2 linked regions of the Cricetulus griseus genome follow. The protein of the gene in region 1 interacts with the protein of each later gene in a biochemical or structural test. Links are inferred from orthologs where the notes say so. Each region holds a gene or a part of one and is shown in the gene's direction. Other genes may lie near its edges.

Evidence for each region.
Region 2: the proteins of Cabin1 (region 1) and Mef2d form a complex in vitro, tested with the Homo sapiens proteins (2 studies listed by BioGRID). The link is inferred for Cricetulus griseus from reciprocal best matches to the Homo sapiens genes CABIN1 and MEF2D.

Annotation. Positions count from the first base shown.
Region 1 is NW_023276806.1:262,841,126-262,844,937, forward strand, and holds part of Cabin1 (calcineurin-binding protein cabin-1), read left to right. Parts: intron 1-148; coding exon 149-262; intron 263-1,287; coding exon 1,288-1,422; intron 1,423-2,154; coding exon 2,155-2,335; intron 2,336-3,450; coding exon 3,451-3,580; intron 3,581-3,812. UniProt on the Homo sapiens protein: May be required for replication-independent chromatin assembly. May serve as a negative regulator of T-cell receptor (TCR) signaling via inhibition of calcineurin. Inhibition of activated calcineurin is dependent on both PKC and calcium signals.
Region 2 is NW_023276806.1:66,317,215-66,321,026, reverse strand, and holds part of Mef2d (myocyte-specific enhancer factor 2D), read left to right. Parts: intron 1-148; coding exon 149-352; intron 353-1,871; coding exon 1,872-2,009; intron 2,010-2,058; coding exon of another isoform or gene 2,059-2,193; intron 2,194-2,970; coding exon 2,971-3,181; intron 3,182-3,380; coding exon 3,381-3,437; intron 3,438-3,812. UniProt on the Homo sapiens protein: Transcriptional activator which binds specifically to the MEF2 element, 5'-YTA[AT](4)TAR-3', found in numerous muscle-specific, growth factor- and stress-induced genes.

The DNA of each region.
Region 1 (3,812 bases):
GGACACTGAGCAGTCATATCTCCTTTGCTCTCGAGGCTGTGGCTGACAGTTCACTTGGCAGGGACTCATAGCCTTCCCTCTAAAACATTTTTGGTTTAAAAGGATCAACTTGAGTGTGGTGTGAAACATCTCATATCTTGGTTTGCAGGAAGCAGAGGCTTTTGCCTTATACCACAAGGCCCTGGACCTACAGAAACATGACAGATTTGAGGAGTCTGCCAAGGCCTACCATGAACTCCTGGAGGCGCGCCTGCTGCGGGAGGTGAGGTACTGGGATGCTGGGCTGTGTTTTTTGAGACAGAGTCTCACTTTGAAGTCCAGGCTAGCCTGAAACTCTGGGTTCTCCTGGATCCTGAGATTGCAAGAATGGAACAACCTACCCAGTGCTTTTCACTGTCTGGGTCTTGTTTTGCACACATGTACATGTGTGTATGCATGTGTGTTTGGTTTTAGTTTTTTCTTTTTGAGACAGGATCTCATGAAAGCCATGCTAGTCTTGAACTTGCTGTGTAGCCAAAGCTAGCCTTGAACTGACTGCCCTACCCTACTTCCTGAGTGCTGAGTGCAGGTCAGCCTGGAATTCTCTGTGTAGACAGGTTGCCCTTTGACAGAATTCTGCCTGCCGCTGCCTCCTCAATGCTGTGATTAACGTCATGTGCCACCACACCTGGCTCTGACAGTAGTTTTTATTCAGTGATATCTTGGAAGAGTAAATGTTTTTAAGGCATTGCTATAAAAGCAGCGGTGAAGTAACTTTTTATGTTAAAGATGTTTATAATCCTTATACTGTTTGATCTCATGTTCACATTTGCTATCCAGGCTAGGAATTGCTGTCCTTTTATTATAGAGTTCACTGACAGTAGCTGTTTAGTTGGAATACCTTGTGGGTGGCTGTGTGATGATCCAGAGTCAGGAGCTTCTCCTCCTGGGGCAAAGCTTAGGTTCTGGCTGCTCACCCCAGGAAGCCTCTTCACACTTGCCCCTGAATAGGGGGACTGGCTGGGCTTTTTTGTCAGAACTGATAGATGTTACCAGCTCCACTAAGCAGCCCAGGTACAGCAGCAGAGGTGGAGAGGGGTCTCTTGTCTTCCTTGATTACCAAATTTCTGCTTCATGGTGGTTTGGCCTTTCTTTGTATGATTGGAGCTATTTGGTCTCCCAAAAATTTCCCAGGTGAGGTGGACTGGGCTGTCTCAAGCAGTATCTGGCCTGGAAACCAGGTTTCTTGTTGATTGCTTGATGAAGCTGTAGGGTCATGGCGTCACTTCTGCTTCTGTTTTCTCTCAGGCAGTTTCATCTGGAGATGAGAAAGAAGGGTTGAAACACCCTGGACTGATACTGAAATATTCTACATATAAGAACCTGGCCCAGCTGGCAGCCCAACGAGAAGATCTGGAGACAGCCATGGAATTCTATTTGGAGGTATGGAGTTGGTACTACTCAAATATCCATTTACAAAATTGATAAATTGGATGTGATATGGTCTTGTTGACTGAAAGAAGGATTTGTAGTGGTGTCCCATCAAGAGATATTATTGAGTGCAGAAAGGCCAGAAAAGCAGGGCTAGGGACTGGGATGGGCTTCAGTGCAGAGGACTATATGTGACATTTTCTACCATCAGTACACATGTGACTGTAGGTGACTTATTTAATCCAGCCAAACATCCAGGTCTATACCAATGTGTAATAGGAGGAAAAAAGGGTAAAGCTGGGCATAGTGGTACATACTAAACCAAGCAGTGGAGGGCTGAGGCTGGAGGATCACATAGCAAGTTTGGAGCAAAGCAAACAAATTGGTGCATTTTTAGGTATGAAGACCAGATCCTGACACCTGTATTCAGTGGTGTTTTTGAGACGGTGTTCCACTGTGTAACAGCCCTGGCTGTCCTGGAACTGGCTCTGTAGACTAGGCTGGCCTCTGCCTCCCAGTGCTCCTGGCCTCATGTAGCTTTTTATGTGTCTTTTGTCTGGGTCTTGGAAACATGTTACTCCAGGAAAGTGAACCAGCTTTATTATAAGCAGCCACACTGTCTTGACTTCTCCCTGGGTAATTTGAATGGCTGGGCCAATGCTTTGTCCTTTTGTTGCCACTTTGCTTGCTCAGTGAGAAATCTAATTAAGTGCATATTGTACCCTCTGCTTATACTGCTTCTAGGCAGTGATGCTAGATTCCACAGACGTCAACCTTTGGTATAAAATTGGACACGTGGCCCTGAGGCTCATCCGGCTTCCTCTGGCTCGCCATGCTTTTGAGGAAGGGCTTCGATGTAATCCTGACCACTGGCCCTGCTTGGACAATCTCATCACTGTTTTATACACCCTCAGTGATTACACAAGTGAGTCGGGACAGATGAGAGAGGTTGACTTGGGTAAGCTGGTAGCAAAATTTATTAGTTCTGCCAAACTGAGGAAGAATGGAGATGTTTTTACATACTTGCTTAATTCTGTTTTCCTTTCTTCATTAACCAGATGCTTGTAAGTATAGAGTAAGGTAACAGTAATGTATTCTCTAAAGGATTCCCCTTTTCCTCTGTGCAACGTCCTATCTTTTTGGGTTGTCCTTTTTTTTTTGGATAAAAAGTCTCCTGTGTCACCTAGGCTAATCTTAAACTCCAAAGGCCTGTCACATTGAGTGACATAATGGGAGACATTTATTTTCCTGGCTTAGGCTAGGAAGTCTAAGATCAGGGTGCCAGCAGATTGGTGCCTGGTCGTGGCTTCTGTGTTTCCACCTCTTGTAGCTTTACTTGATGGGGTGGAGTTAGAAAACGAGAGGGAAGGTGAGCCCACTTCATGTGTGTGTGATACAAGAGGTATAATTTATCCTGAAGCAACATTCTTCTCTACCCATGGGCCTAGCCGCATTGTTTATGTGCTCCAAAATATAATGGTGGGATATTTGTAGAATAAACCTTCCCTTGTCTATCCCCAAAGTGAGAAATAGAAAAAAAAAAGGGGGGGGGAGTGAAAAGTTCCAGGTAAACTCAGAACTTAGTAAGGTAAATTTCATTAGGTCTTTAGGTTCAGTAATGTCTTTGGTTTGATGCTCTTGTCCTCTAGGTCCACTGGGTGGCAGTGTCACTCTCATAGCTGAGATGGCCAGATATTTTGAAGGATATTGGCCAATAGCTAATCACTGTGAGCTCTTTAGATTTTTTTTTTTTTTTGCAGCAGTTATTAAATATGGAATCACGGGGTCAAGGCTGTACAGTAAAGTCATACAGTCTGTTTGCTTCTGGCACCAGCTGTCCTATTCACCTGCAAGTGTGTGTTCTGGTGCATTCTTGATATTGTAGTCTCAGCTGTAGTCGTTACTAATTAAGTTGGGTAAGATGCTAGCTCAACATTATTGTGCATTTTAGTTCCACAGTGGGAGCATTTTCCTGGTGTTAACTGGAAGGCTAGAGTTGTGAAAGCAGTCTTAGCTTCTAACCTGTTTCTTTCCTGCTAGCTTGTCTGTACTTCATCTGCAAAGCACTGGAGAAAGACTGCCAATACAGCAAAGGCCTGGTCCTCAAGGAGAAGATTTTTGAAGAGCAGCCTTGTCTCCGGAAGGACTCACTCCGAATGTTTCTCAAATGGTAAGGCCTGCATCTTCTCACCAATGTGGCTGGTAAACACTAGGAGCATCCTTCGTCCCCCTCTCTGTCCTGATCTGTGTGCCTTCGGAGTCTCTGAACTCCAGGGCTCCATCACCTGTGCTGTCCTCACTCATCCACTAGGTCACTCTGACCTTCCCGTTTGTTGCTTGGTGGGGTTAGATGATAGGGATTGAATTCACGGTGCAGCCCCCGCCAAGATTTTGTCCTCAGT
Region 2 (3,812 bases), about 200 Mb from region 1:
CTACTATTTTGTTCCTTTCTAGATCAAGGGTTTCCATAGACAGTGACTGAGTCACCCTGAAAGCAGAACTCCAGGGGAGGGGCTGTGTCCAGATACCTATGGGCAGAGGGACTCTTGTTAGACCTGGCCACCCACTACTCTCCTGCAGGTGACATTCACCAAGCGGAAGTTTGGGCTGATGAAGAAGGCCTACGAGCTGAGTGTGCTATGTGACTGCGAGATTGCACTCATCATCTTCAACCACTCTAACAAGCTGTTTCAGTATGCCAGCACCGACATGGACAAAGTGCTGCTCAAGTACACGGAGTACAACGAACCGCATGAGAGCCGCACCAATGCTGACATCATTGAGGTGCGCCTGTGCCCGCCTCTGTCCATGTGTAAACCCATCTCTTCTCCTGAACCAAGGCCCCAAGGAAGGAGGGGCATGACAGCAAAGGCATGAGACATGTAGCCAGTACCAGGCTTCAGCTTGACTTAGGCAGTGTGTGCCAGGTCTGAGGCGCATCCTGTGTCTTCTCTGTCTCTTTAGAGCCTCCTTCCTTCATCCTCTGGGATATTCCTTTTTGTGTCTCCCTCTTTGTTCCCACCTCTCCTTTCTGTCCTGTGTGGCTCTTGCCTTCTGTTTCAGAGTCAAATTTTGAAATGTTGAGGACTTGAGCTTTAGGACTCATCTCTGGTCTTTACTGGTACATGGCCTTAGGCAGGTGGTCTGGGCTGTGGTCTCTTCCACAGACTGAGCAGTGCTGACTTACAAGAGTGTTCTGTGAACAAATGAGACAGCCAGCTCATGCTTCTCACTCTAGGGTGCCAACATGGGGTACAGAGGTTAAGAGTACTGGTTGCTCTTCCAGAGGAGCTGGGTTTGATTCCCATAGGGCAGCTCACAACTGCCTGTAACTCTAGTCCCAAGGGATCCACTCTCTTCTGACCCCACAGGCACCAGGCACTCATGTGATACACATACATACCGGCAAAACAGACATACACATGAGATAAAATAAAAATAAGCCAGGTGGTGGTGGTGCACACCTTTAATCCCAGCACTCGGGAGACAGAGGCAGGTGGATCTCTGTGAGTTCGAAACCAGCCTGGTCTACAGAGTGAGTTCCAGGGCAGACGAGGATACACAGTGAAACCCTGTCTTAAAAAGAAAAAAAAAAAAAAAAGTAAAAATGAAGCAAGGGCTGGGGAGATGGCTTAACAGGTAAAAGCACTTAATGCCAAGTCTGATGACCTGACTTTAAATCCCAGGATCCTTGTGATAGAAGGAAGAGAACCAACACCTGCAGGTTGTCCTCTGACATGCACTCATGTGCCATGGCATATACACACACACACACAAACACACACACACACACACGCACGCGCGCGCGCGCAAGCACACGTGATTTTAAAAAAATGAAGCAAGTATCTTTAAAGTTTTGAGCAACCACAAGCACTTGGGTCTGCCACAGGTACACTCTAAGGTCATGTGCAAGGCTTTGGCCCCTGGGAGAATCTGGGGTGGTAAGTGCAGGTCCTTTGTGCTCTCCTGTGTCCTCCTCTCCTATCTCCATCCAGCTCGGTCACCTAAATAGAACTTAGGGGTTTGGATGGGCAGAGTTCCCCACCCCTAAACACATCCTTAGGGGAACAGGCTGGGGTGACAGAGTCGTGTAATATACCTGCCCCATGCCTAGGTTAAGTCCACTTCACTCAGGACCCCAAGGGAGCATTGTAGGGAGGAGAATGGCTCTGAGGGAGGGACTGGAGCTTCTGGAAACCATGGGAGAGAAGGTTGGAGAAGAACAGGGGATCCTTGGGAGGAGCTTGGAGGAGGCAGGAGGACCATTGCTGGCTGGCTGGCTGACTGAGTGGTGCGGTTGCAGACCCTGAGGAAGAAGGGTTTCAACGGCTGTGACAGCCCAGAGCCGGATGGGGAGGACTCACTGGAGCAGAGCCCCCTGCTGGAGGACAAGTACCGGCGGGCCAGTGAGGAGTTGGATGGGCTCTTCAGGCGCTATGGGGTGAGCCCTCCTCACCTTTTCTGTGGTCCCCTTCCGGCCCCTCCCCCAGGCGCTGCACAAGAAGCACAGGGAGTGTGAGAGCCCTGAGGTGGACGAGGCGTTTGCCCTGACCCCCCAGACGGAGGAGAAGTATAAAAAGATAGACGAGGAATTTGATAAGATGATGCAGAGTTATAGACTGGCCGTGAGTAGTCGCATGGAGGAGAGCCTCCTGTGCTGCATGGTGTGGCTTCACCCAGCCTTGCCCGGCCCGTGGCTGCCTCTGATGGGTGCACTAGGATGAGCCATCTTGGAGCTGGTACTGACCACTGAGGAATTCCTGACCTCGGTCTTGATAACCCTCTTCTTATAAAGTCCTTGCATAAGCTAGAGAGACAGGCATTCTCCCCTCACCAACAAAAAGTACAGATACCTTGAGTCTTTAGAGGACAAAAAAGAGTATGTTCTTTGTCCTGTTGTTTTGGGGGAGGCCCCCTTGGGCTGCTTTGGCACCCCTGCCTAAGGCATTCAGCTTTGTTTAAAGGAGGTGGAACTGCTAAAGGGAAGGGAGAGGGGTGGGCTTGAACTGCTCCTGAAGCAGGCCAAATGGTGGATGGCAACTTAGTGAAGCCGTATTCTTAGAAGTGTGTGAGTTGGGTCTGTATGCAGGGCACTAACTTGCTCCCAGTGTGTCCTGCCTGGCTGAGGACTAACCCACCTCCACTGGGGGTATCCAGTCCTGTCTGCAGGGGGCAGAGCCTTGCTCTTCTGCCTTGGACCAGAGCTATATTACAAGGTGCTCTCATCTTTCTGATGGGAGGTAGGTAGGATTACAAAAGGGCTGAAGGCAGGGAGTCCAAGGTGCTGGCCCTTGGAGATATAGTCCAGGAACCAAAGAACCCTTGTGCCTACCCTCTTGGGCAAAATGGGTCCAGGTGGAAAGATTCACCTGGTGTGACACCGCCTCCGTCTTTCTGTCTAGTCATCTGTTCCGGCCCCCAACTTTGCCATGCCTGTCACAGTGCCCGTGTCCAATCAGAGCTCCATGCAGTTCAGCAATCCCAGTGGCTCTCTGGTCACTCCTTCCCTGGTGACATCATCCCTTACGGACCCACGGCTCCTGTCCCCCCAGCAGCCAGCACTACAGAGAAACAGTGTTTCTCCAGGCCTGCCCCAGCGACCTGCTAGTGCAGGTAAGTGGGCTGGAGGGTGAATTGCTAAGGCGGAAGTGAGCCTCTGGGCTTCCATTTTCAATGGTGGGTCTTCCCTTCACAGAATTCCTGCATGTGTATGACTCTTGAGGGGGAAAAGCCTAGGACTCCTAAGGGACCCCCCCCCCCCTTCTTGTCCAGTCCCAAGACAAAGCTCACGGTAGCTCTGCTTTTCTCCCAGGAGCCATGCTGGGTGGAGACCTCAACAGTGCTAATGGAGCCTGCCCCAGTCCCGTTGGTGAGTGTAGCTGCCTTCCACAGGGTGGCTCAGAGGGACCAGAGACTTAAAAGAAAGGGGAGGAGAAATGGCAAGACCTAAGCAGGAGGCATCAGAAAATTTTTGTTTTTGTTTTTTGAGACAGGGTTTATCTGTATTGCTTTGGAGGCTGTCCTGGAACTTACTCTGTAGACCAGGCAGGCCTCAAACTCAAAGAGATCCTCCTGCCTCTGCCTGCTGAGTGTTGGGATTAAAGGTGTGAGCCACCAAAGCCCGGCCAGGCCCCTGGATTATTTTGGAGTCTACAGCAGTGACTAGTTAGAGTGACTAGTCACTGGGTCCAGGTGGAAAGGTTCACCTGGTGTGACACCACCTCCGTCTTTCTGTCTAGTCATC